Arabidopsis thaliana: one gene and its partners. The protein of the gene in region 1 interacts with the protein of each later gene in a pairwise test. Each region holds a gene or a part of one and is shown on either strand. Other genes may lie near its edges.

Evidence for each region. The genes of interacting proteins can lie anywhere in the genome.
Region 2: the proteins of AT3G13410 (region 1) and AT3G23300 interact in a protein complementation assay, tested with the Arabidopsis thaliana proteins (one large-scale study listed by BioGRID).
Region 3: the proteins of AT3G13410 (region 1) and MPK20 interact in a protein complementation assay, tested with the Arabidopsis thaliana proteins (one large-scale study listed by BioGRID).

The regions. Positions count from the first base shown.
Region 1 is NC_003074.8:4,360,105-4,367,433, forward strand, and holds AT3G13410 (2-C-methyl-D-erythritol 4-phosphate cytidylyltransferase), read right to left. Parts: upstream 4,213-7,329; 5' UTR 4,034-4,212; intron 3,948-4,033; 5' UTR 3,929-3,947; coding exon 3,807-3,928; intron 3,674-3,806; coding exon 3,571-3,673; intron 3,475-3,570; coding exon 3,415-3,474; intron 3,231-3,414; coding exon 3,168-3,230; intron 3,044-3,167; coding exon 2,843-3,043; intron 2,740-2,842; coding exon 2,628-2,739; intron 2,538-2,627; coding exon 2,326-2,537; intron 2,138-2,325; coding exon 2,045-2,137; 3' UTR 1,531-2,044; downstream 1-1,530. Other genes in the region: AT3G13420 (uncharacterized protein), read left to right, coding at 4,619-4,711, 4,891-5,084, 5,347-5,731, 6,080-6,202.
Region 2 is NC_003074.8:8,330,251-8,337,964, reverse strand, and holds AT3G23300 (S-adenosyl-L-methionine-dependent methyltransferases superfamily protein), read right to left. Parts: upstream 5,169-7,714; 5' UTR 4,729-5,168; intron 4,699-4,728; exon of another isoform or gene 4,648-4,698; intron 4,488-4,647; 5' UTR 4,445-4,487; coding exon 4,205-4,444; intron 4,123-4,204; coding exon 3,958-4,122; intron 3,878-3,957; coding exon 3,695-3,877; intron 3,615-3,694; coding exon 3,020-3,614; intron 2,896-3,019; coding exon 2,783-2,895; intron 2,689-2,782; coding exon 2,468-2,688; intron 2,382-2,467; coding exon 2,063-2,381; 3' UTR 1,730-2,062; downstream 1-1,729.
Region 3 is NC_003071.7:17,838,439-17,846,864, forward strand, and holds MPK20 (MAP kinase 20), read right to left. Parts: upstream 5,943-8,426; 5' UTR 5,510-5,942; coding exon 5,486-5,509; intron 5,098-5,485; coding exon 4,689-5,097; intron 4,363-4,688; coding exon 4,235-4,362; intron 4,111-4,234; coding exon 4,051-4,110; intron 3,972-4,050; coding exon 3,822-3,971; intron 3,725-3,821; coding exon 3,569-3,724; intron 3,422-3,568; coding exon 3,210-3,421; intron 3,130-3,209; coding exon 3,028-3,129; intron 2,798-3,027; coding exon 2,655-2,797; coding exon of another isoform or gene 2,632-2,654; exon of another isoform or gene 2,571-2,631; coding exon 2,134-2,570; 3' UTR 1,730-2,133; downstream 1-1,729. Other genes in the region: AT2G42885 (Defensin-like (DEFL) family protein), read right to left, coding at 7,677-7,828, 8,068-8,155.

The sequences.
Region 1 (7,329 bases):
GACCTGGTTTTGGTAAGTTGATAGGAACTATAAGTTTCTAATTTTAGGACTTACTAAGAAATAACTCACGAGAGAAATAAATGTGTGTAGAAAGAGAGAAAAAGGGACTCTCGTAAACATTTTTAAAAGAAGAAAGAATCTCAACATTTACGTGTAACCCTAGCTAGTTATCCCGACAGGTACTCGAAAGGGCACTATTAAATAAACATCTATATTTTATACTCCGTATAAGTTAATTTATAAACAAGTAATCGGTAAATAGAGACCGTCAGTTATATACATATATATATATATATATATATATATTGTTTCTTTGACAAAAATATGTGTGTATATATATACAAAAATTCACAGAAATCAGCACTTGGAATCTCAAAGTTATCGAAAAGATCAAAAAAGGACCTGCTCGAGTAGGTCACTTTTGCGTGGCCGTACATTTTTATAGTTTTTCATTATTATTAAAATATCAATTTAAGATGTCATATGTTGTTAAACAGAAGATAATTTTTTTTTTTTTTTTATAAAATTTGAAGTGAACGCCACAAGAGATTTTACGTATGAAAGCTAAAGCAAATAAAAGATGAAGCAAATTTGTTAGTTCAACATTGTTCTTTATATTTCAAAATTTGGTTGTTGTTATAGTTCAGGTAATAAATATTTGCGGGGGTGTCTGTCTAAACAAGAAAAATGGATAGTTGAGGAAAAGAAGAAGAAAATGGGTACAATGTGATGTCAGTTGGTGGAGTGGCAGATCGATGGGATTTTCACTGCTCTTTTGGCTCAAACCCCTATGTCTCATGTGCTTCCCTCTATTTGTTTTTTACATATATTTTTGTGCGAAACTGAAAATATTTTTTTCAATAAAAAACCTATACGTAATATTTCTAATCTTTAAATTTCAATTATGTGGCAGTATAGAAAACAAAGTCGTATAAATTCTATCGATAATATGCATTATATGCAAATTCTAATTCGGACGATGACACAAAAATATCGCTAGTATAAAACTAAGCTACATGTCATGGTGACATGATTTTTTATAAATGTTTGTGTAAGAAAAAAAAAGATAAACATTGTTCATAAATGATGCTTTTGAAACTTCTTCGTAATTAGACAAATACAGTCATGTATTTGTTATAGTATAAACTTTGAAAAAAACAGGGATACGAATAGTGTTATGTTAGAATAAATGTAGGAGTATGTATAGTGGGGAAAAGATGAATAGAACCATCGTTTTCGGTCATTTTGATTCTTTATACGCTTCTTTATGGAGAGAGAGAGGTCAATCAAAGAATCTGAAAGATTGATCTTATGACTTTGTCAATAGGTCCATGCAGGGACCATAAGGACCCCAACATATGAAGATGTTTTGCTAAGTATTGAATCATGGAACAAATCAACGAAATAGTCAAAACAAAAGGTCTATCTAGATAAATTATAAACTGCTAATTGCTCAATCGATATTACTTAATAATGACTAAACATGCCGAGGCAAACATTAAATTTGGATTAGAATTGCATGTTGCATGACAAAACTTATATATGTATTCTTACTATTTTCTTAATTGTTCACAAAACTATCATCTATATCTATCTTTCTATCTATCTATACAAGTGATGGTACACACACATGTCCTACCACTCTGACTCTACCGACATTATTGTCCTGAGTTTTTTTCTTCCAGAAAATCTATGTCCGAATCCCCAAATTGATATGAATACGATACTATGAGCACGATAACTCCGGAATATAATCTAAGAAAAAGAAACAAAAAAAATTCTGAAAAAGAATGTAATCCGTTCTCCAGTGTATGTATCTCTGGTTTTTTACTCGTTCTCCATTATTAATTTATGACGTTTAAGAAAGACTCACAAACAAGATGAATAAATGATACAAGGGGATTTTATGGCATATGCAGATTTTGTTTTGAAGTAATAATGTAACAAATCGACATTGAAGTACCTTCCACAATGCGCACTATGCACAAGAAAAGACTCGTCAAAAGCAAAGCAAAAGGTGGGGATGGCTCTTAAGGTCAACAGCTTAAGAATCTTGAGGAGTCTCGAATCTAGTCGGTGTATCGATACCCGCCATACAGCAAAGTCCACTGATCAAGATGAGAAGAAAAACGATTCCCTGCAAAAAGAAAAAGAAAAGGACGAGACATAATCAAAGGCTTTTACGAAATTTTAACACATTGAATTAAATTATCTTCCAGCTAGATATGACCAAGATGCTCATTAAACTTGTCCATTCTATGATGTTTATGAATCTTTCTTGAGAACGATGAATACCAAAAAAACACGAGTAAAAAGAGTAATTACCACTAGTATGCCCTCCAAAAGTGATGACTTAAATTTGCAGAGTTCATCACAGCCAGTAGCAATTTCAGGAGTACTGTTTCCTTTAGCAGTTTCAGCTAGAAACCTTTGGAGAGTTTTGTAAGATGTGTACCAATAAGGATCAGAAACATAAAGAGCTGTATATTTACTGCCGGATTGTTCTACAGAACTAACAAGTTCCAAGAAGCTTTCACCTGCAGAATAGGTCAAAGAATTGCTTAATTTCCTAGTTCTCAAATGATATCTAATTGTTAGTATTATTTTGTAATGATCTTTCCACTTACGCTCTGAATGTGACTGTCCAGCTTGACTATTCGATTCAGAACCCTCGGAACAGAGCACAACCAAGTCAGTTTCTCCTTCTTTCCTTGTTTCTCTTCTAGCAAGCAAATGATCCTGTCAATTATTAATGAGTATTAGAAAGTGAAGTTAAGGGGGTGATAACACTGGGAAGGCATGGGATTAGGGAAAATAAAAACTTAAGAGCAATGAGTATTACTTTGAAAGACTGCAAGTCTGAAAGTTTCTGAATTGTTCCATCCTCAACAAAGCACGAATCTGAGAACACGATATTGCTGACTCCTACATTGTTGGGACAAGCTTCTTTAAGCCCTGAAAGTAACAAATTCTCCATCCTTTCTTCCTCTGGAGCAGCAATATATGGGAATGCCAATGAGAAGTTGGAAGCTGTAAATAGATTCTGTTGAAACAAAGACTTGGATGTTAGAGTATTGTAAACTTTATATCAAACAACTATGTCAGAGATCTGTGTTACGGATGCAATTTCGAAATTTCTTGTTGAAGAAAAGAAAATTTGCACTTACATTCAATGTGTTAACAAGGGCAGGATCTGAGTTCCTTTTTGAAGAAACATCAGAAGACAGTAACTGCAGGCGGAAGAGAACGTGAATATTAGAATTCTCAGCATAACACAGAAGATACAGAGCAAAGACGATTAATTTCCCGCAATATTAAAACATCAGTTTCTTTACAATATCACAACAAGAAACCAAAGATCCACAAGGTCATTTATGCTAATGTTAAAACAACAATACTACATCATTCAATTACCTCTCTGCCTATGAACACAAGTGCAACATCAACAGGTTGCTCAAGCTTCTTCTCTGAGCACTAAACAAAGGAGACAGTAATGACAATAAGAAAAATCATTTGACATCCAGTGAGTTGTAGAATTGAAATCATAAGATCATGAAGAAGAAACCATACCAGAAAGTTTGACCAACCTCCTTGAGTGAAAACAGAACCAACTAGATCCTTTGCAGACATGACCTGATAATTTACAGCCTCATCCAATTCACCATTAGCAGACCTGATTTTCAGAATCACATAAACCAATCAACCCAGTAATCTAAGCTAACTCACATCAGATATCACAAGTCCCAGGCTTTTTACACATTTCCATCAATCAAATTGAGAATTATAGAGAAAACAAGATGCATAACTGGAGATGCGGAGACCAGAGGAAAGCAGGAACTGTGTTCGGAGAAGCCAATCCGATTTCAAAGAGAGAGGCCACAGATAGAAACACCAATAGCGCCACCGCACCAATTTGAATCTTCTTCATCTTCGTCGTCGAAACAATTCTACCGGAGACAAAAGGAAAAAAAATCAATCGAACAATTCCTCACGCCTAACGAAACAATCAGCAAATTCAAAGATAATCACAAACCTAGAGAGATCGAGATCGCTTCCAGAAGTCGATGTATCAGTAGATTTTTATCGAACTTTCAAATCCAGAGAAAGAAGAGATTCATATCTCCGATCTTCAAATCTGGGCGACACATATGAGTAGTCGACATGTAAGGAATTAACGGCGTCGTTTTTGAAACGAAAATCGCTAACCGAGATAACCGGTTTCGGTTATGTTCAGATATTAACCGGTCTGAAGTTTTGGGCTTGATTAGGCTTTTAAAGATTTTCCAATACGGCCCAAAATTTCGTGACTCCGTTAAGCGTCCGTCACTCTGGACAAGAAACGGAAACCTCCTTAAATCTTATAATAACTTCGTCACGATTGAACGGAATATTTCGTTTCCTCATTTTTTTATTTTGTTGCCTCTTCTGCAACGCGATCCCGCCAAAGACACTCTTTACTTTCTCCCTCACGAAAATTCTCAAATCGTCGTTCTCTCTTGATTCACCGATTTCGTTCGCCGGAAAATTGCAATTTAGCATCAGAATCGTCGAGCCATTTTGTATTATGAAAGTCCATTGAAGTAACAAGTAACGAGAGCTGCGAGGTTGAGATTTTACGATGCTTTGTGTTTCGTTACGAAATCGAATACATAATTGGCTTCGCGACTACGTTAGGCTCCAATCTGTCGTTTTGATTCTTATCTATGCTCAGGTAAATCCGTAATCGCTTTGTAGTTGTTTCATTTCCTCCGATTTCACGTTTTTTCTCGTGAATTGTTCGTATCTGTTTGGGATTAGGGTTCTACGATTTCTCTGTCGATATTTGTTTGTTATTCTTTTAATTGTGGTTAGAAGTGCAAGAAACTCATATTGATGAATCATTTGTTTCAGATAGGGTGCGCGTTGATCGGTTCACTAGGGGCATTGTACAATGGAGTCGTGCTGATAAATTTGGCGATTGCGTTATTTGGGTTAGTAGCAATCGAGAGTAATAGCCAAAGTCTTGGCAGAACCTATGCGGTTCTTCTTTTCTGCGCCATTCTTCTTGATGTCTCATGGTTCATTCTCTTCTCCAAAGAGATTTGGTATGTCACTATCCTTGGAACAGCCGTGCTTGTGATCATGATCAAATATTTGGTTTAAGAGTTTGCTCTGTCTTGTTTAATTTTCATTGCATCACATATTGTAAACTGTCCTGAATTTCTCTTGATTGGCTCATCATCTTTTTGAACTGATTGATCTTTAAACCTTTTTTTTTGCAAATCTTTGCTATGTCGTGTTTAGATTCTGTTGAGCCAGTATTCATCTGCTGCCTATAACTGACAAAAGATTTAATTGTTAATGCAGGAACATTTCATCTGATATGTATCAAGTCTTTTACATCTTCTCTGTGAAACTCACCCTGGCTATGGAAATTGCTGGGTTCGTTGTGAGGCTATCGTCCTCTCTGTTATGGTTTCAGATCTATAGGCTGGGAGCTTCTATTATAGACTCTCCATTTCCCCGTCAATCAGATTCAGATTTACGGAATAGCTTCTTAGAACCTCCTCTTTTAGCTAGGCAACGTTCACGTGATCCAGAATTACGAAATAGCTTCTTACAGGCTCCTGCTATAGCTAAGCAACGTTCACGTTCTGACGAAATCTTGGAAGATTCTATTGACGAACCTGCCTCCTACACTCCTCTGTTAGATGGCGGCCTAAGCAATATCACTTTGCCCAATGCAACACAGGTCTTTTTATTTCTACCTATTCTTCTCTTAAGTTGTTTGTGTACTCATTGTAGTTGAGGTTTTTATACTTGGTTTGTCTATGGTTTTACCAATTGGGTTTCCAGATGCTTCTTTTCGGACCTTTCTTTTGAAACTGTATGCAATATAGTGAGAATTGGATTGAACTATCTAGATCACCCAACCATGCTTTTTAGCTCTTTGCCACTCTAGGTTAGGTGAAACTTGTTTCTCACTAACAAACAAAGGCCACATAGTATTGATATTACATCATAGTATGCTGCTTTTCTTGTCTCAGTACTCCTCTAAAACTTACACAGACATAGCAAGTGGGTTTTCAACCTTTTGTAGGTGATTAAGCACCATTCAGCTGGAGACATTTACAAAGGATCCCAATCATCTGCTGCAGAAGCCTCTCGAAAGAAGTCTCCTCTATCCAGATCCTTAGAAGCACTTCATTCTAGTCTCTGTTGATAGAACATCTAATGATTGTGGACGGTACTATACTATACCTTGCTTTTGGTTAGGTTAACTTTCACACTTGACCTTTTTATAGACATAGAAAGAACACTTGTTGCTTTGGTATATCCTTGGACTCAGTAAATTGCATGTGTTTGTCAATCTACATTACTACTTGCAGCACTGCTCTCAGCTTTTATCATTTTTGCCTGGCAGTTTCCAACTCACTTTTGCAGGAAGATAGCTTTTGTCACGAGCAACTTCATTCAACAATTCTAAGGCCATTCTTTGTTTTCAATTTGAAGAATCCAGATCCGAGATTTACATAGTGGATAACAAGCAAGAACAATGCCTTTATCATCATTCATTTTACTCGGAACTGTATAGAATTGGGGTTATTTGGACTACGAATGTACATTAGCATTCTTTTCTGTACATGAAAAATAGGTGAATCGGAGGGTTAGTATAAACTTCAAAGATAGTTTTTTCATCCAAAATGTTTGGTAAACAGTGAAGTTTTTATTGCAGATTTTTAAAGTAGCAACATGATTTGCCTATGGGGAAATATTCTTTGTAATATCCGTAAGAGAATAGAAGAAACAGATATAAACATAATGTTATCATTTTATAAGATCTAATGACAACTTGAGGAGACTAACTTGGTGCCAGATTCCAGCCATTTTAGTCTCTCTATTTGACTCGAGTTCTCCAACTCATATGATTAAATGAATGATGAATATGGCGTGGCATGGGGCCTAATGTTGAACCACCGGCCCATGTGAATTGCGAAGTTGCGGTACTAATTAATTAATTGGGCCTAATAGTAGCCAAGGAGTTTCGTGCAAATTAATTCTTTGACCTATAAAAATTGGTATAACTTACTTATCCACGTCGGTCTGACTATTATTAAGATGAGATTTGATTAGATTAATAATTTTGAAAAAGGGGTCAAAGACTCAAAAAAGTCTGCGTGGATCTCCAGCCGTTTTCAGACACTTACCCACAAAATATTCCTCTCGGCGATGATCCCTTTCTGCTGAATTTTTGGTCCTTTGTCGCTCGACTGTTTTCTTCGTCTACTATTTGTTCCTTTTGGATATTCTTCGGACTTTTCGTTGATTTGATTTTCAAGAGGTAAGTTA
Region 2 (7,714 bases), 4.0 Mb from region 1:
CTTTTGTAATGTTGTCCCCAAATTTTAGTTTTTTTCTTCAATCTTCACCAAAATTATTGATCCCACTCTAGGCAAAATTTTGAAATTATGGGCACACAAAAATTAATGTAGATGAAACATTAGTAATTCTTTACCGGTAATCTTCATATTAGTTAATAGTAGAACATATTTCAATACAGTATGTTCTTTATTACAAAGCAAAATATATTAAAAGCTAATCTGGAAAAGAAATTCAAAGTTAATTCTTGTGTGATAATTTTAATATATTTATTGATTTTTATACTAAATTTTGTAGGAAAAAAACGTTAATTTTTTTGCATATACAGGAATTTTTTCTCTAATTTTCGCTAATATGTATGCGCCAAAACCAGAATTCAAAATAAAAATAAAAATAAGAAAGCAACTTTTTCTTTAGAAGAAAACATTTTAAGGGTTTTAAGAGGATAAGGGTTTGATTTTCACAATCTTTGAAGGGCGATATGAACAGCTTTGAGGTGGGGGAGAGTAACGTTGGGGACCATTTTTGTATTTGCCAAACTTTGTAGGTATGTATCACATTCATATTTTTCGAAAATAAATTTAATGTATATTGTACCATATATTCAATGTATCAAACTACGTAACGCGTATAATTGAAGTGGTTTCCAACAATTAGTAATAGGAAAACCAAAACAGAAACCACTATTTTTGTTTTATCATTCATATGATGTAACGGTCAATGTGTTCGTCATGATTAATTGTCTGAAAATTATTAAGTTGGTATGTAAGGAAATGGTAAAAGTATTTTTATATTATTTATTAAAATTAGTTGAAAAATGTTTTGGATGATGTATCCAGTATCCATATAAGTATTTAACATTTGAAATCAGTTTCTACATGTCATTTCTTTTCAAGTTATTAAATAGACTTTTATTATTTCTATCATAAACGTGCAAATATTATTTTGGAATTTTTATTCATATTTAATGTCTTATTCATTATAATACCACAAATACAGATATATTAAATAAACATATTAAATGAGACAACTAATAAAATTCCACATTAAGTTTTATGCCCAAAATATTTTATGTTTTTTTTAATATACATTTTAAAGAGATGTTAGCAAATATGTCACCTAAACAAAATCTTCATGCTTATCATTTCGCATGTAAATATAATTTAGCTAAACTGAACATAAGAATTAAGAAGGATAAAATGTAAAAATAAAGTTAAAAATATATTGTTGTATGAGTTTAGCCATAAAACGCAAATATAAAGTTGTTATTGTCATGGACTCATGGCTAAGAAATTTCAAATCAATTACTGAATTTGGATAGAATATAATCGAGAAAGTGAGGGGCATCGATTATGGGAGTTAACTTAAAGAAGTGGACAACAGCTTCAGCTTTGTGTCCACGAGACAAAAAAAAAAAAATTGTAGAATGCTTTCACATGTTTAGTCTCCTTTTTGGACCAATAAAATGTTCTAATCATCAAATGCAATTATTCTTAATTATATTTCCTTTTTGTCTCTTAGAACAATAACTTATCTTCAATTTTGCTTGGGACATAACCTAAAGATTTCTTCCAACAACAGTAAAGTTACTTCTGAGAGTGAGTTATATAATGGGGACTAAGTAAACAGCACGCATACCTTTGTTTCAATCACTCTTCTCCATTCATTACAACTATTATTCTAAAGAGCTCAAAGAGATGATTTCTCATCATCCCAAGTTTTTGGATTTAAGCTTTATGAAGTATGACTCTTAAGATTGAATATAGTGTTTAGTAATGAATAATCATCAATCTATTAAACAATGATTTAATACATAAATTGCAACAAAAAGAGTTTAAATTGATAAGAAACTTTAGTCCTCTCTAACGAACCATACAAACATTATATGAATATGTAAAGAAAGAAAGATTTAAGAGAAAAGAACGTTAAATTGCCGCTATAAAACGAATTTTCTTCGTTGTATGTTTTCGATTAGATTCTCCCAAGAAAGAAATCTCTTGTGAATGTTGTTTTGTTTTTTCATGTTGGAGGCAGTTTTTGGCCTCATCATCATCATCATCGTAATCACTCCAAATCTCTGAGGCTTTCACTTGTCAACCACAGTTTCTTCTGGACAATGAGTATCACATTGTCCGAGTCTTGGTCTGATTCCGAGGCTGTCTTGGTTTCAACTGCTTCCCAATGCAAAGCCTTGAGATACTTCTTCACAAGGTCGACTACGGATTGTTTGTCCCTTATGAGTATGAAACCGCTTGGACGAAGTATACGATCCATCTCCAACAGCAAATCTTCTGCGCTGCAACCTCTCTTCTTGATATCAGATATGATGTCCCAGGCATGGAGTAAATCGTAAGTCCTCGGGTAAGTCGAGAACGCTTCACACCTGCAATATTATCAGACGATAAATCATAAGAGGCACATATATACTAATGGATTTTGATTAAGTGAAAGGTTAAGGGAGAAACTGACCAGCTATGAACAGCACCCATCAGGCCTCTGTCGTATATTAGTTTAAGCGTGTTTGGTCCGTCTTCAGGAACAACATTCATAACCCAAACATCTTTTTCTTTCAGAGCAGCAGCAAAGGAACCCATGCTTGCTTTCATGTCCATTATGTTCCTTACAGTGTCTGATTGAATTTTAGGACTCAAGAGATCCCAATAAGTATCTACTCTCTGCCTCCAAGTTTCCTGTATGAGCAAGCAATGATTTAAGGTGACTACAGTCTTTATATTATTGGAGCTTCAATTGCAACAAATAAAAAGGATAATGGGCATAACATACTGTATCCTTCTCAAAAATGTCAGTGGAATAGCCAAAGTCAGCTAGCCGAGGAGGAGGAGAGGTTAATCGAGCTGGCCATGGAGCCAATCCACTTCCCTTGGTTTTGTGGTCATCTAATAGAAACGTTGAAAAATAATTTAGTGAGCATATTTGTTCTCAGATATGCAATATCACAAGCTTGTGAAGTTAATGACGAAACTCTGTTAGTGAAAAGAAGATAGAATAATGAAAACTCACGGTCACTGTATTGAGTAATGCATGCTTCCATGTTTACACCATACACAGCATCAGGGTCACTGTCAGAATTGCAAAGAGGAGGCTGGGTTCCAGGTTCTCTTCCCAAATAACAATCATTTGTCAAAGGTTTTTGCCAAATTACAGTTTGATTCCTTTTTGCAGCTATCGTCCAACACATACGGCCCACAAGAGCACTCATTTCTCTCCATATTCTGAGGTCCTCTTCATCTTGTGCATATGCTTCTGGAGATGAATATGCAAAATAGCCACCAGGTCTTAGCACCCTGTCTAGCTCGAGAAGAAGAATACCATCTCTTTGAAGCCAATCGATACGACAACGTGAACAGTGAGCAAGTTCAAAGGATCTGCTTGGGTATGGGAGCCTCTTGGTCCCTAGAACGCCGAGGTATGCAGGAATCCCTCTCTCAAGAGCAAATTGGATTTGGTTCTGATGAACATCATTAGGTGCCAAAGACATCGTCATAATTTCTGATGCAAGAAGATAACCTCCAAAGCTAGCAACACCACAGCCAACATCAAGAAATGTCCTCAGCCTTCCCCCATTGTTCAAAACATTGTTCGGAAAATTAAGCATCTGCAATTTCCATGAATAGTATCAGTAAATGAAGATGGACACACACCTCTATTCCACATAAGATCTAGTAACTGCCTTACATTTGCCATTGATGCAATATACTTATCAGCACCATAATGAAAATGTGTGCCTCCACCAGGGAAATTGATTTTCTCTCCTTTAACAACCATCCAGTTTTGGTCAGACTTCTCATGCGCTAAGTGAGTATGAGGAATGTTCACTTTCCAAACTTCGTCTCTGCTTTTCGGCCACTTGATTGGAATCTAGACACATTCACATAGAAAAAAACTTCAAAATATGTCAAGACACTGATCATATCAACAAAGCTAGAGAAATAACACACCTTATACCCTGGAGGAGGAGGAATCAAGCAATTAAACCTCCTTTCAGGAGGAGGACAGTGACGTTCATAATGCTCCATCAAAGACAAATCAAGCTTCAATCTCATTTGGTATATAAGATTCCTATCTAAGCAAGGAATAAGCTCCGAGTGTCGATCATCACACACCTTTACAAGAATTAACAACAATATTAAACACATATTGCTCAACTCAATCATCAATTACACAAAGAAGGTCTAAAGAACTCACAGGAAAGCTTCTGGGAGTGAAACCATTCCCTACTACATCTTCTACATAAAAAGAGCTAGAAGTGTCATCTTTCTTAGTACTATCATCATCATCACCACCCAAACCAAGTTTCCTCCCATACTCAATAGCTTTATGGTTAGAGGAACCAAAGAAGAGATATACAAAAACAAGCACTACTGATGCAACGCAGAGTAACACAATCACCGGCTTTTTCTTCCCTCCTTCTGATCTCCCCCTCATCGCCGCCGTTGTGTATATTAGTGATTACTCAAAACAAGAGATTCTACAAAACAAACAAACATATCGTGCTTATGCCATTAACAATCTAAAAAGCTTCTTATCAATGGATCTGATAAACAGAGAAACAAAGCTACGATAAAAACACACAATTAACGCACAACAAAATATCGATATCGAATTCCAAAATTAAACAAATCGTAAACCTAGTTCCGGAGGAAGCTTCAGATACAAGGTTAAAGGAAGGAATAAGAAAATCAGAGAAACGGATTAAGGAAATCACTTACCAGTAGAAGGAGAGAAACAGAGATCAAGATCAAAAGAGATGCGAAATTGTAGGTCATTCAAATAGAGAGATCGGAGAAATGAGAGTGAGATTCGGATCTGGAGAAGAAGTTTGAGAGACTGCTTCTTCGTCTTCTTCTTCGTTGGTCTATATTGGGATTCGAACGAACAAAAAGTAACAAAAGCGGCAGCGAAAGAGATATAATGAGAGAGTGAAGAGAGAAAGAGAAATAAAGCGTCAAAGTCGTTAATTAATTTTTCATTGAAATATTTGGTTTAGTTTTATGTGTCGGTGATCTTTTTTGTTTTCGTAACATGAAAATATGAATTATATGAAGAGGAATTGTATTTTCTTTTATTTATTTATATATATTGATGACTTTTTGTGTGTTTGAATATTGTCGCCTCTGGATCTACGCTTTTTTTCTGGTCTTGGTGAGAGTGGGTTACTGGGAAAATAAATGACTCGATTTGGTTCAGCTTACACATGTCTAATGGTTGACTTGTCCCGATTTTAATATATTTTCTAGAGCTAGTTAGTTAGGTATGTAACCAATGTTACGAAAAATTAATTGAGTATACTAGTGTTAGTTAGGATGTAAAAAACGTAAGAAAAGAAAATTAATTAAGTGGATATTTTAGAAACTTATGTCATTTGCAAAAGCTATTTAATTGGATGGGTGCTATACTCTAACTAACATGTTATTTGGCAAATTGTTTTGTAAATTTTATTATCATTTTCTTGTATCAAATTGTACATATTGTGTTATTTTCGTCGTCATGCTTCTATATATGATCCAAGTATCCTCAAGTTTTCGAAAATATATATTGCAAAACACACGAATAAATTCGTATGATAATTTGTGTTTTTTTTTAAAATTAATCTTATTAGCTGGTCCGATTAACACAGATAAAAAAGAAGTGCTTTAAAGTACATTTTTTTCAAAAGGGCCACTACACTGTTTGTTCTGAATTTGGACTATTTTTCGACCAGATCATATATTAGTGACTACCAGATAAGATGTTTAGGTATTTGGCTCAAACCCAGACATCTCACACAAATATAATTTTTTTTGTTTCGAGGGTGGACCAAACATGGATTAGTTCCTTTCAACCTTTCTTCAATTCTCAATCACCACTAGAACATGGGCTCTAAATTTTCTTTGATGTTGTTTAAGAAACTTTTGTACTAAATTTTCTTTGATGTTGTTTAAGAAACTTTTGTTGTTGTTAGACTTAGATTTTCTAAGGATATTTTACTCATTCTATCTTCTCTTTTAAAATTTTATGGACCTGCCATTTCTACAAAATAGTACTAAAATTGGTATTTTTTAGTTAATTCATCAAAAATTTGTCCATAATATGTTTTGGTATATTACCACTTGTTCACTAAAATTTGTCCATCAAAGCTAAACCCCCAAGAACTAGTCCATAAATGATATGTTTGGTAGATTTTAATGGCCACCTTTTGATTGACCACAACATATTATGGACAAGTTTTTTAGACGACTACCAAAACATACCTATAATTTCAGTTTAACTTTCTCAAAGTGGTAGATCCACAAGATTTTCTTTTAAGGGTAGAATGATGAAATTTTTATTTTTGTAAATTCCATGGAGTTTCACTCATCCACCCTTCATGAACATAATGGCTATAAACTTGTATTAAGATATATGATGTTCTTCCTTCGAAATTCATATTATTTCTTCTAAACTCATGTCTTTTGTTAAATGGAATCCAAGATGAAATATATATAGTTTAATATAACATAACAATATCATCTTTAATGTCGTTGTTGTTAGAGTTTGAATAGCCTTCAAAAAAATTCTGTGAACAGTATGTTATATACCAATTTAATTTCAAGTTGTGTTACATAGACTCACCACTACAAGTCATGGGTCCTTTCTAAATTTATGTCATTTAGTGTATACTGTAAACTAAAAAGTTCATATACTTAATCCATTTAAAATTATGGTCGTTTAGTGCAGTTCTGTTATTTTTGTAACTCACTAATTACTTTGTTTTAGTCGACCTCAAAACAAAACAATAGTTATTTGATTCGGCAATTGTGTTAAACAAATGGGTTAAAGCCTGTAAATAAATGGGCTCTCACATCTTGAGCTAGGTACAGGTATGGCAGAGATCGGACTGAAGATCTAACGGAGGAGAAAAAAATGTTTTTTAGGCACAACTAGTTTTGTTTGTGGTAAAAAAATTGCTAACTACTTAGAAGAACTGTTGCGAAAGATACTCAGCTACCTCACCATTTTTCTAAGATTAATACTTTACTGTATAATTACCTTAATTATAGTAGTATTTTATTAATTAATTGTATAATTTCTTAAATCTCTTTTTAATTTTGAAGGAAAAAGTAATCTTTTTAAACTTAAGTCAGAATAAGTAAATGATATAATAATTTCTGTTTTTATATAATAAAATACAGATTGTTTCTTTATAATTATCCATTTTACATTTTTTAAATTGTTTTACGTATGATATATAAGTATAGTTTCCTTGTAAATATTTGTTTACATTTTTAAATTGTTTAAAATTATAAATTTTTATAATTATGTTTTATATTTTTAAAATTAATAGAAAGATATTTTGGTTTATCAATGTCAAAATTATATGAGATCACTAAAGTTGACATGTGACACAATCTTATAAATTACTAAACTTTAAAAACCAAGCTTTATATAATAAAAAATTTATTGACTTGATAAAAAGAAGGAAGATTGTTGCCTAATTCTTTATCTCATATAGCTTTAGAGGTAAACAGGTTAATCACTTTGATTTCCTCTAAACAACAACTTCAGCTCAATATCACCTTTTAATCTTGCTTAAAACCTTACTGTCAAATATTCTTTTGATTTTTCGACTAACTTGATATATTGATGCTATCTAATTACTAACTTAAGCGTCAAATGTACACGATCAATAGTCAGAGCCGGTCGTATGCAACATTTACGATGATGAATAATGAAACA
Region 3 (8,426 bases), on another chromosome or scaffold:
ATTATTAGATGGATGAGATCAAATAGATCCTCTAAGAGATAGTGAACTTGTTCGTACAATTGAGGACCTAATCCTACTAAGATCCACATGATATCTATCGGGCATGGTGGCCACGTGTCAACCCTTTTTTGGGTCCCCCCCACCTCAGTGACCTCCTAAATCTGTCCTTCATTTTTTTTTTGTCAACTCCTTTTTCTTATTAAAAGAAACTCCAATTAACATCCCATATTTCTTACCACGTAAAAACAACAATCTCAATATATCTATAATGTTAGAGAAATGGCCACTATATAACAAGAAGAAAGCCAAGGAAGTTTAGTGTTATTGGATTCGAATATAGTGTTACATGTTTCTAGCTAGAGATCTTTATAATATACATCTTTTATACATAAAACCGTTATAGTAAATCTTACTTAATGTTGGTTCCATAAATGAGCCCTCCGGTGCATTTCTTTTGTCAACTATATGATATAAAAACTAGATAAAGACTTAATAAAAAATAATTGCATTAAAAAAAAACAATTGCATTTTTGTAGGTCTTTAATCCAAGATTGCAAATTAACCTAAATCTACTCAAGAAAAAAAATTTAGTAAAGAATAATGATTGACATCTAATTAAAAGAAATAATGTATGGTCTTAATTAAGACAAAGATCAGGAACAGAATAACACATTTCTTTTACGTCTAGGGTTTTTAGTAATACTAAAAATTGTTAAGATGTTGTTTTAGAAGAAGAAGAAGATGGAAGAGAGAAATAAAGAAAGAGATGATGTTTCCAAAGAGGGGACGAAGGAGGGTTTGGTTTCTCGGGATTGAGATTTACAAAAATCGGGTGCCTTTCGCATTTCACCATCTACCAAACTGACACTCTCCCCAATTCTAGTATCTATTTATTTATGTATTTGCACTTACATTAAATATGTTACAAAAATAACACACTCGAAATTTAATTTTAGCTTTTAGCCAGCTTTCACATTCGTCGTCTTGGAATAATCAATTCTATGTCCTTTTGTATCTTGTTCGTTGTTTCTATTTTTTCCAAAATAACTTTTATTTAATGACGAAAACCTAAATATTTATATCTAGGAGGAGTTTGAGATGATTCCCTTTCACTATTTATTTTTGTTGCCACAAAAATAAAAGAGAAGAGTTTGGTTAAAGACAAGACAGTATATGTTTTTTTAAGAATTAAGAAAGGGGAAGATTAAGAAAGAAAATATGTAATGTTTAGCTAAAAAACTCCAAATCAAGGGAAGTTAATTAGTTATCTTCTCTTTTTTTCTATAAAGGCTGGAGATATGGGCCACACAGGTGGACCTACCATGATGGGTGATCTCTGGGACAATGCATACAGTGGTTTTTGGGTCCACCTCTAACCTTATTTGTCTCCTCTCTTGGCCTCATTTAGTTGCATTTTTTTCAATTGTACATGCATTTTCACTTGCTATATCTCTCTTTTGCTTTAAAACTTATTTTATTAAAAACTTTATAATCAGAAAGAAGAAGAAAGATCCCAAATTTTTTTATTTTTATTTTAATTAAAATAGAAGTGAATAAATAATCTTTAAATGATTTTTTCTAATTTTATTTTGATATTTCTATTTTGAGATACTATTTATTGAACAGCAATCTCTCATTGTGCTCATTTATTAATTTGTAGAAGAAATAACTTGTTTAGGAAGAAAGTAAGCGAACTCAACTGTTTACACAAAAATATATACACAAATTGGTTGGTTTAAAGATATGATCAAGTGACAATGCACCTTTCTGTTTCTACTGACATTTGGAAGAACAAAGTGGTGCCTGTGATATGGGTTCCCACCACCACATGCGTTTGGATGTGCCATGAAACCATCATCATCATCACCATGCGCATCCACACTGATCCATCTTCTGTAGCCAGCGGTTCTTTTAAACGTGAAAAACTCTCAACCTTTCTTGTTATATATACCAGAATCTAACATCCATTTATTTATTTGTCGGAATAGAAAAAACAAACAAATGATGGATCACAATTAATAAAAAAAATATTTTTTGCTCATATGGTTTTGTGTCATAGACAATTTTCTTTTATGACATGAAGATGGAAACATACAATGTTCTGTGTGATGAAAGCCCAGCTTAGGTGGAGAACTAGTACATCTTTGACATACCGTACCGAACAGCTCCAACTTTCCGGTGAGCAGAACCACCAGGAGCAGCTGCTGCAGCTGCCGCTGCGACTCCTATTCCGGCAGTTGCCTGTAACAGATTTGTGTCGATTATGATCCGGTCACTGATGTTTTCGGCTTTGTTCATTCCCGTTCTAGCCATGATAAACGGGTTGTTGTCTATGTTGATGGCTACATCTGGTGCATATCTATTATACTGAGATATTTGTCTTGCCTGCTTCTCAGGCTCCATAGTTGTTCTTCTCTCTTGCTGCTTTCCCATGGCGACTGTTGCAGCAGATTGTTGTGAAAAGGGGAGATTAGTGCTCCGGATGAATGATCTCGGGTCATATGCATCTCTGCTGATTCTGCCATTGTCGAAAGGTGCAACCGGGCCCATGAATGTGCTTGGTTTGGCTGCTGCGTGTAGATAGATGTTTTACAGTTTATAGAGGTCAGTTTGGACACATTGCTGTTGGATTCAGGATGAGTGATTAAAAGTACCTGAGAGGTTTCTTTGTTGTGCTTGTATTGTTGCATGATTAAAAGGAATGTTTTGAGTAGTTTCAGGGTTCAATGTGTTTGTGTTATTCATAAGTTTTGGTTGTCCTCCTCGTGCTACTGCGGTTGAGTGTATGACCGTTGATCTGAAAGCATGCAAACACAGAGTCAGAAGGACATATTTTTATAGAAATTAGTGTTCAACACAAGAAACAGATAGTCACGGTCTTATGATTCCATCTTTTTTATCCTTGCCATGTCAATGTATATTAATATACAACTAGTATAGCAGTTGCATAACGGGGGTCAAAAACAGAGGAGATCACCGAAACCAGATCAAGTGACAACAGACTTTACAGAAAAAATGAGGATATACCTGGGAAGAGAGGCATGTTTCCTTTCTAGAGGTGCCACAGGGCCGGTTTTACCACTGTTTTCTTCAAGATGCGCAAATTGTCTTCTAAATTGATCAACAGCACTGCACAGTATACATCAATGTCAGGGACTGGGTGTGATATGCAATGCTAGCTCAAGAATGTAATCAACAAAAATTACGACCTTGGGTAGAGAAAACTGGCTTTATCAGCCCCGTTCATATGATCTTTAAGCAGCTGAGGGTGGTACTCAAGTATCTCCCTAGAAATTAGCTCTCTTATATCCTCTTTAGTGACCTTTCTTCTCTCGAACTCAAATTCCATCTTCGTGATGGGTTGACATGAAGGCTCCCTTTCCACTTTTGCCAATCCCTTAAAATATGGATCAGCAAGTGCCTGATTCAAGTATACAAGAGTAGTTTAGTGATTCACTCCAATAGAAACCCCAAATGCATGATACTCTATTATTAGAGAGAGAAAACAATCAGGAAGCCGAGAATTCAAGATTTGAGATAGTTAGTCAATATGGAAGTTGAAAAGCACCTCTTCAGCAGTTGGCCGGTCTTTTGGATCAAAAGCAAGAAGCCTCTCCAACAACTTCAGAGACAAAGGATCTGCATTTGGGAATTTCTGTGCAAACGGAATGGGTGGCTTTTTCCTCATGCTTGTTAAGTACCTCCTTGCCTTCTCATTCCTCACCTGTATAACATCATAAAAGCAGGGTACTCATCACTACTGGTCCTTGCTTAAGATGTGTAGAAACTCAATGGACTTCGTTTAGCAAGAAGATCAATACCCGTGAGATGGTGTCCAGGGAAGGTGTCCCTAGCAGATCAGTCATAAGATCCAGCTGGTGAACCACATTCTTTCCAGGGAAAAGTGGTTTACCCATCAACACCTCCGCAAAAATGCAGCCTATACTCCAGATGTCAATTGCGGGTGTATACTACAAAGCCAAATCCATCAAAAGTTATATCGCGGCAACACACCAATTAAAAGATGTTATATAGAGAACAAATGAACACCTTAGAGTAAAAAGATCCACAAAGCTCTGGAGCTCTATACCATCTGGTAGCAACATAGTCCTGTAAATTCAGTAGAAAATAATGTAGAAGAGTATCAGGTCCTGCAACGTAGTGAATAATATTTAGACCAACTTCAGTTTAAGAGAAGGAAAAGACTCTTAGAGAGCCATCTTGTCAAACGTACAGTCCAGAAGATTGTTGTGGGGGTATCATTGAATGCAACCCTTGCCAATCCAAAATCACAAATCTTAAGTTTACAGTTTGCATTTGCCAATATGTTCTTTGGTTTCAGGTCTCGGTGGTAGACATTAGCTGCAACAACCAAGATTCATAAGATAATATAATACAACAAACCAAACTCGACAGCTGAGTTAAAGTTCAGATATATTGGGGCAAACTTCAAAAGGCAAACATTTAGCCAGACAATGGAAACCGCAAGAATCCAATTCAGTGCATCAATGTATGAGATAGTACTGTAGAATGTAAAGTCCTAAAAGACAAATCTGACATACACTACATTTTGCAAGTGTCCAAGATTTTCATCTACAGAGAGAGCGATATATACACACAGAGAGATTTGAAGATGAAAAGACTATTGCTAGATGCCGGATAAAGAGAGACCAAAAGAAAAAGACTACCTGTGTGAATGTACTTCAGTGCACGCAATAACTGATACAGGAAAAACTGGTAATGCTCTCTAGTCAAATCATCATTGGCTTTAATAACTTGATGAAGATCCGATTCCATGAGCTCAAAGACAACATAAATATCTTTGAATTCTCTTCGTGAAGGAGGAAGCATAATGTGCTTAATTTCAACTATATCTGGATGCCTTAGGAGTCTAAGAAGTTTAATCTCACGTAGAATCCTCGCAGCATCAGAAATATGCTCAAAAATATCATGAATTTTCTTTATCGCGACTTTCTCACCCGTAAGAGTGTCTATAGCTGAGCAAACAACTCCATAACTGCCTTTTCCAATAACTTCTTGAACTTTAAATCTATTGGCATCGCCATAGTCAGAAAAGAACTCCATCTCCAGATTATTCTGTTACAAATACCATTACTTCCAAGTCAGAAACATTACAATAGAGATAACACTATACAAGAATCAGATGCAGAAGGTTCTCTACTGATGCTACAAAGGACGCCTAATGAAGGATCAATGCAATTGAATGTCAATTTGCTGATGAAGAAATAAAAAAAATGTCTCAACAACACATCATCTTGTCTTGAATGATGACAATTATGCGTTGTTTGTTTGATGACACTTGTAACGTTCATTGATCATAAACAGAGTTGTCCAAAACGGCAAAAAGATTAAAGACAGTAACAGGAAACAAACAAGATTAACCGAAACACACACATAAATATCTCAGACAGAACAGATAGTATCGGATGGAATAATTGGAAAAAAGGAAGAGTTTTTGTTTCACCTTTTTGCGATTATCTTGCTGCATCGTGACTCAATTGAAACACAGACTAAAAACCCAGGAATTAGAAGAACCCTAGAATTCGATCTGAATTGGGGGGAGGGAAATAGAAATTCAGATCAGCCGCATTGGCCCCATCGACCACTACTCCAAATGGCGAAGCTAGAATCCGACCTGGTTCTGCTCCGGCAATCGATCACCGACAGAGACAGAATCGCAGGCGAATTTCTCATTCACCTCTCTAATTCACCCAATTACCCCCAACGAAATCGAAACAACAACAAACAATCGCAGTTCAAGATAAATCGAGGAATTGAAGATAGCAGAGTGCGAACAGCATTGCTTTAGACGCACGTTTTCGTCGGCACGAGATCTGATCACCGACACACAAGGGATACAGAGAGAGAGAGAGAGAGAGAGAGAGAGAGACGAAGAAGTAGTGAAAATGAAAGGAGAGAGAGAGATAAGGAAGGAATCTAGACGGAGATTTATATATAGAGGTTAAAGTGTCGCGTTTGGTAAGCTGCTTTGGTCACTGTGATCCAAAAAAACAACCCATTAGTAAAACGAAAAAATAAATTATTTGATCAAGTGTTAATAAATTAATTAGGACATTATTGATCTGGTCATTATTAGTGTATGATCTATTTTTGATCTTTATTGCCATTCATTCATGTCTTCTTTATCCAATTCTTTCGTTTTGTCACGTACTTATCTCATAGATATAATGTTAATAGAATGTTATCATCTTTATCCTTAAAAGCTTTTTTGCTAATTTTAGTTGCTAAAACTTTGTTTTATTCACTTTATCATTTGCTATATTGTATATACTGCTAAATTATATTTTCAATCTATATTTCATCATCTTCATTTTTGTAAGGAATTTTTAGCTTATTTTTTGTATTAAGTTTCTGGTAATATGATTCTCAATTATTTTGCTGTAAAAAAAAATATATATTATTTTGTTTTTTTCCATTAATATTGTATATCAAATAACCTTCAATTAAAAACAACAATATTAATTTAGCTTTTGGTTGTGGCATGAGTGTAATATAGTAATATTAGGGGTAGAAAAAAAAACAAACTCTCACTTAACTAGCCCAATGGGCCATGCCATTTTTTTAAAACACGCAGGGCTTTTCATATCCGAATAGTTAACGCCACGTCATCTCTGACGCGTGAGAGATTTGTTGTCAAATGTAATAAACCAGCTAATCATTAGTCTGTCTTACTGTCTCCTTCTTGTGGTTAAAATCAAAAGTCAAACCAGCTCACATTAGTGTAATTATTTAACTAAATTATAAAAAAGATAATCATATTTTGATTAGCTAATAACTAAACTACTTGACGATTGAGCGAATCTTATATTTAGTCTTACGGGATTAAACAAAAAATATCAATCAGACCTTGTTACGTAAGCACAAATCATAGTGTTTGGTTGAAAAACGAAGAATAATACATTTTTTTTTATAGTGTGTTAGTACTGTTTTACTTTATACTTCCATATTCTTTTTTCAATAGACATGTTTTTTCTAATCTTCTTTTTGGTGTTAATTTGATTTAAATTAAGTTAAATTTTTGTTGTTTTATGTATTTGGCCAAAATGATATTTGCATCATAAGGTTCATGTAGAAGAAAACATATCTTCATTTTTTTTTACTTTCTAGTCTTTTTCAATCTAGTGGACCTAATCCTTTTTCAAAATGATCTTCAAAGAATTTTTGTACCTAGTCTTGAATAAATGTGAGGAAATCTTTCTTTCTTTTTATGTGAAAAAATGTGAGGAAATCTAATTTACGTCTTTCATTTTTCTGCGAACATAAAATGGGTAAGGAGATATGGAAAATGTAAGATTCGGTTTGCAATTTTTCTGCAAACACAAGATCTCTGTTTTCTGCAAGAACAGAACCAATTTCCCACCAGGGTAACTCATTTTGACCACTTACAAGCGCCAGGCAATAATCCTTCTTCAAGGCCTTTCACCACTCCCCAAGTTCTCTGCTTTGGATCATATAAGCTCTCAAAAATCATAATCCAATACCAAAATTCATGATAAGTTATATGTTTTATTCATTATCAAGAAATTGAAAAACAACAATTCAAAAAGTTCATCTTTTAGAATCATATACTAGAAAACACATAAATCAAGCTCCATTCACCAATTATTGATGAAGTCATGAAGATAAATCGATTATTATCCTCTGATGCAACAACAGCGTGGAGGATTTCCAACACAATGTCCAGTCCGGTAAATAGCTACATTAGTACAGTCATAGAAGCATGCATGATCATCCCGTCTAGCATCACATAGAAAAAGGCAAGCACCATATTTTGCTGGCTCGATCACTGCACATATATACAACTCCACATTAAAACTATAAATCTGTAGATACATGTCCAAATAACAGTTTTAGTTTCTTCAAGGTTCTTAACAACATATACATATACACAGATACATGTAATATTGTATTACTAATTCTATATTTTTAAGAATTTTTTGTTTCCTGAATTATTGTTTTGGTAGTGATCAAAGATAGTTGAAAATAACAAAAAAAAATAAACATCTTCGCAAAGAAACAACATACCTGACTCGGCCTCAACATCGTAATAAGAAAACGAAATTGTCAATATAATTACAAGAAAAACAGTTGCAGAGGTTTTTTTGATACCCATAGGTTCTATTATCTTTTAGGTTTTCGTGAAAGTCTTATTTATAGGACTATTTTTCTTGGAAAGTTTCAAGTTTTTATCCTCTGTTTTTATTTTACAGTAAGTAGATCTTCCATAAATAAATTTGTTATTTTGGTAAAGAGAGATTTTCATTTCTTTTTATTATCTTCTTTAAGTAGAAAGAATCTTAAAACTACTATACTTGAATACTTATAAAAAAAATTACTATACTTGAATATATCAAATTTAATGCAAAGTTCATGTTGGAGAAATT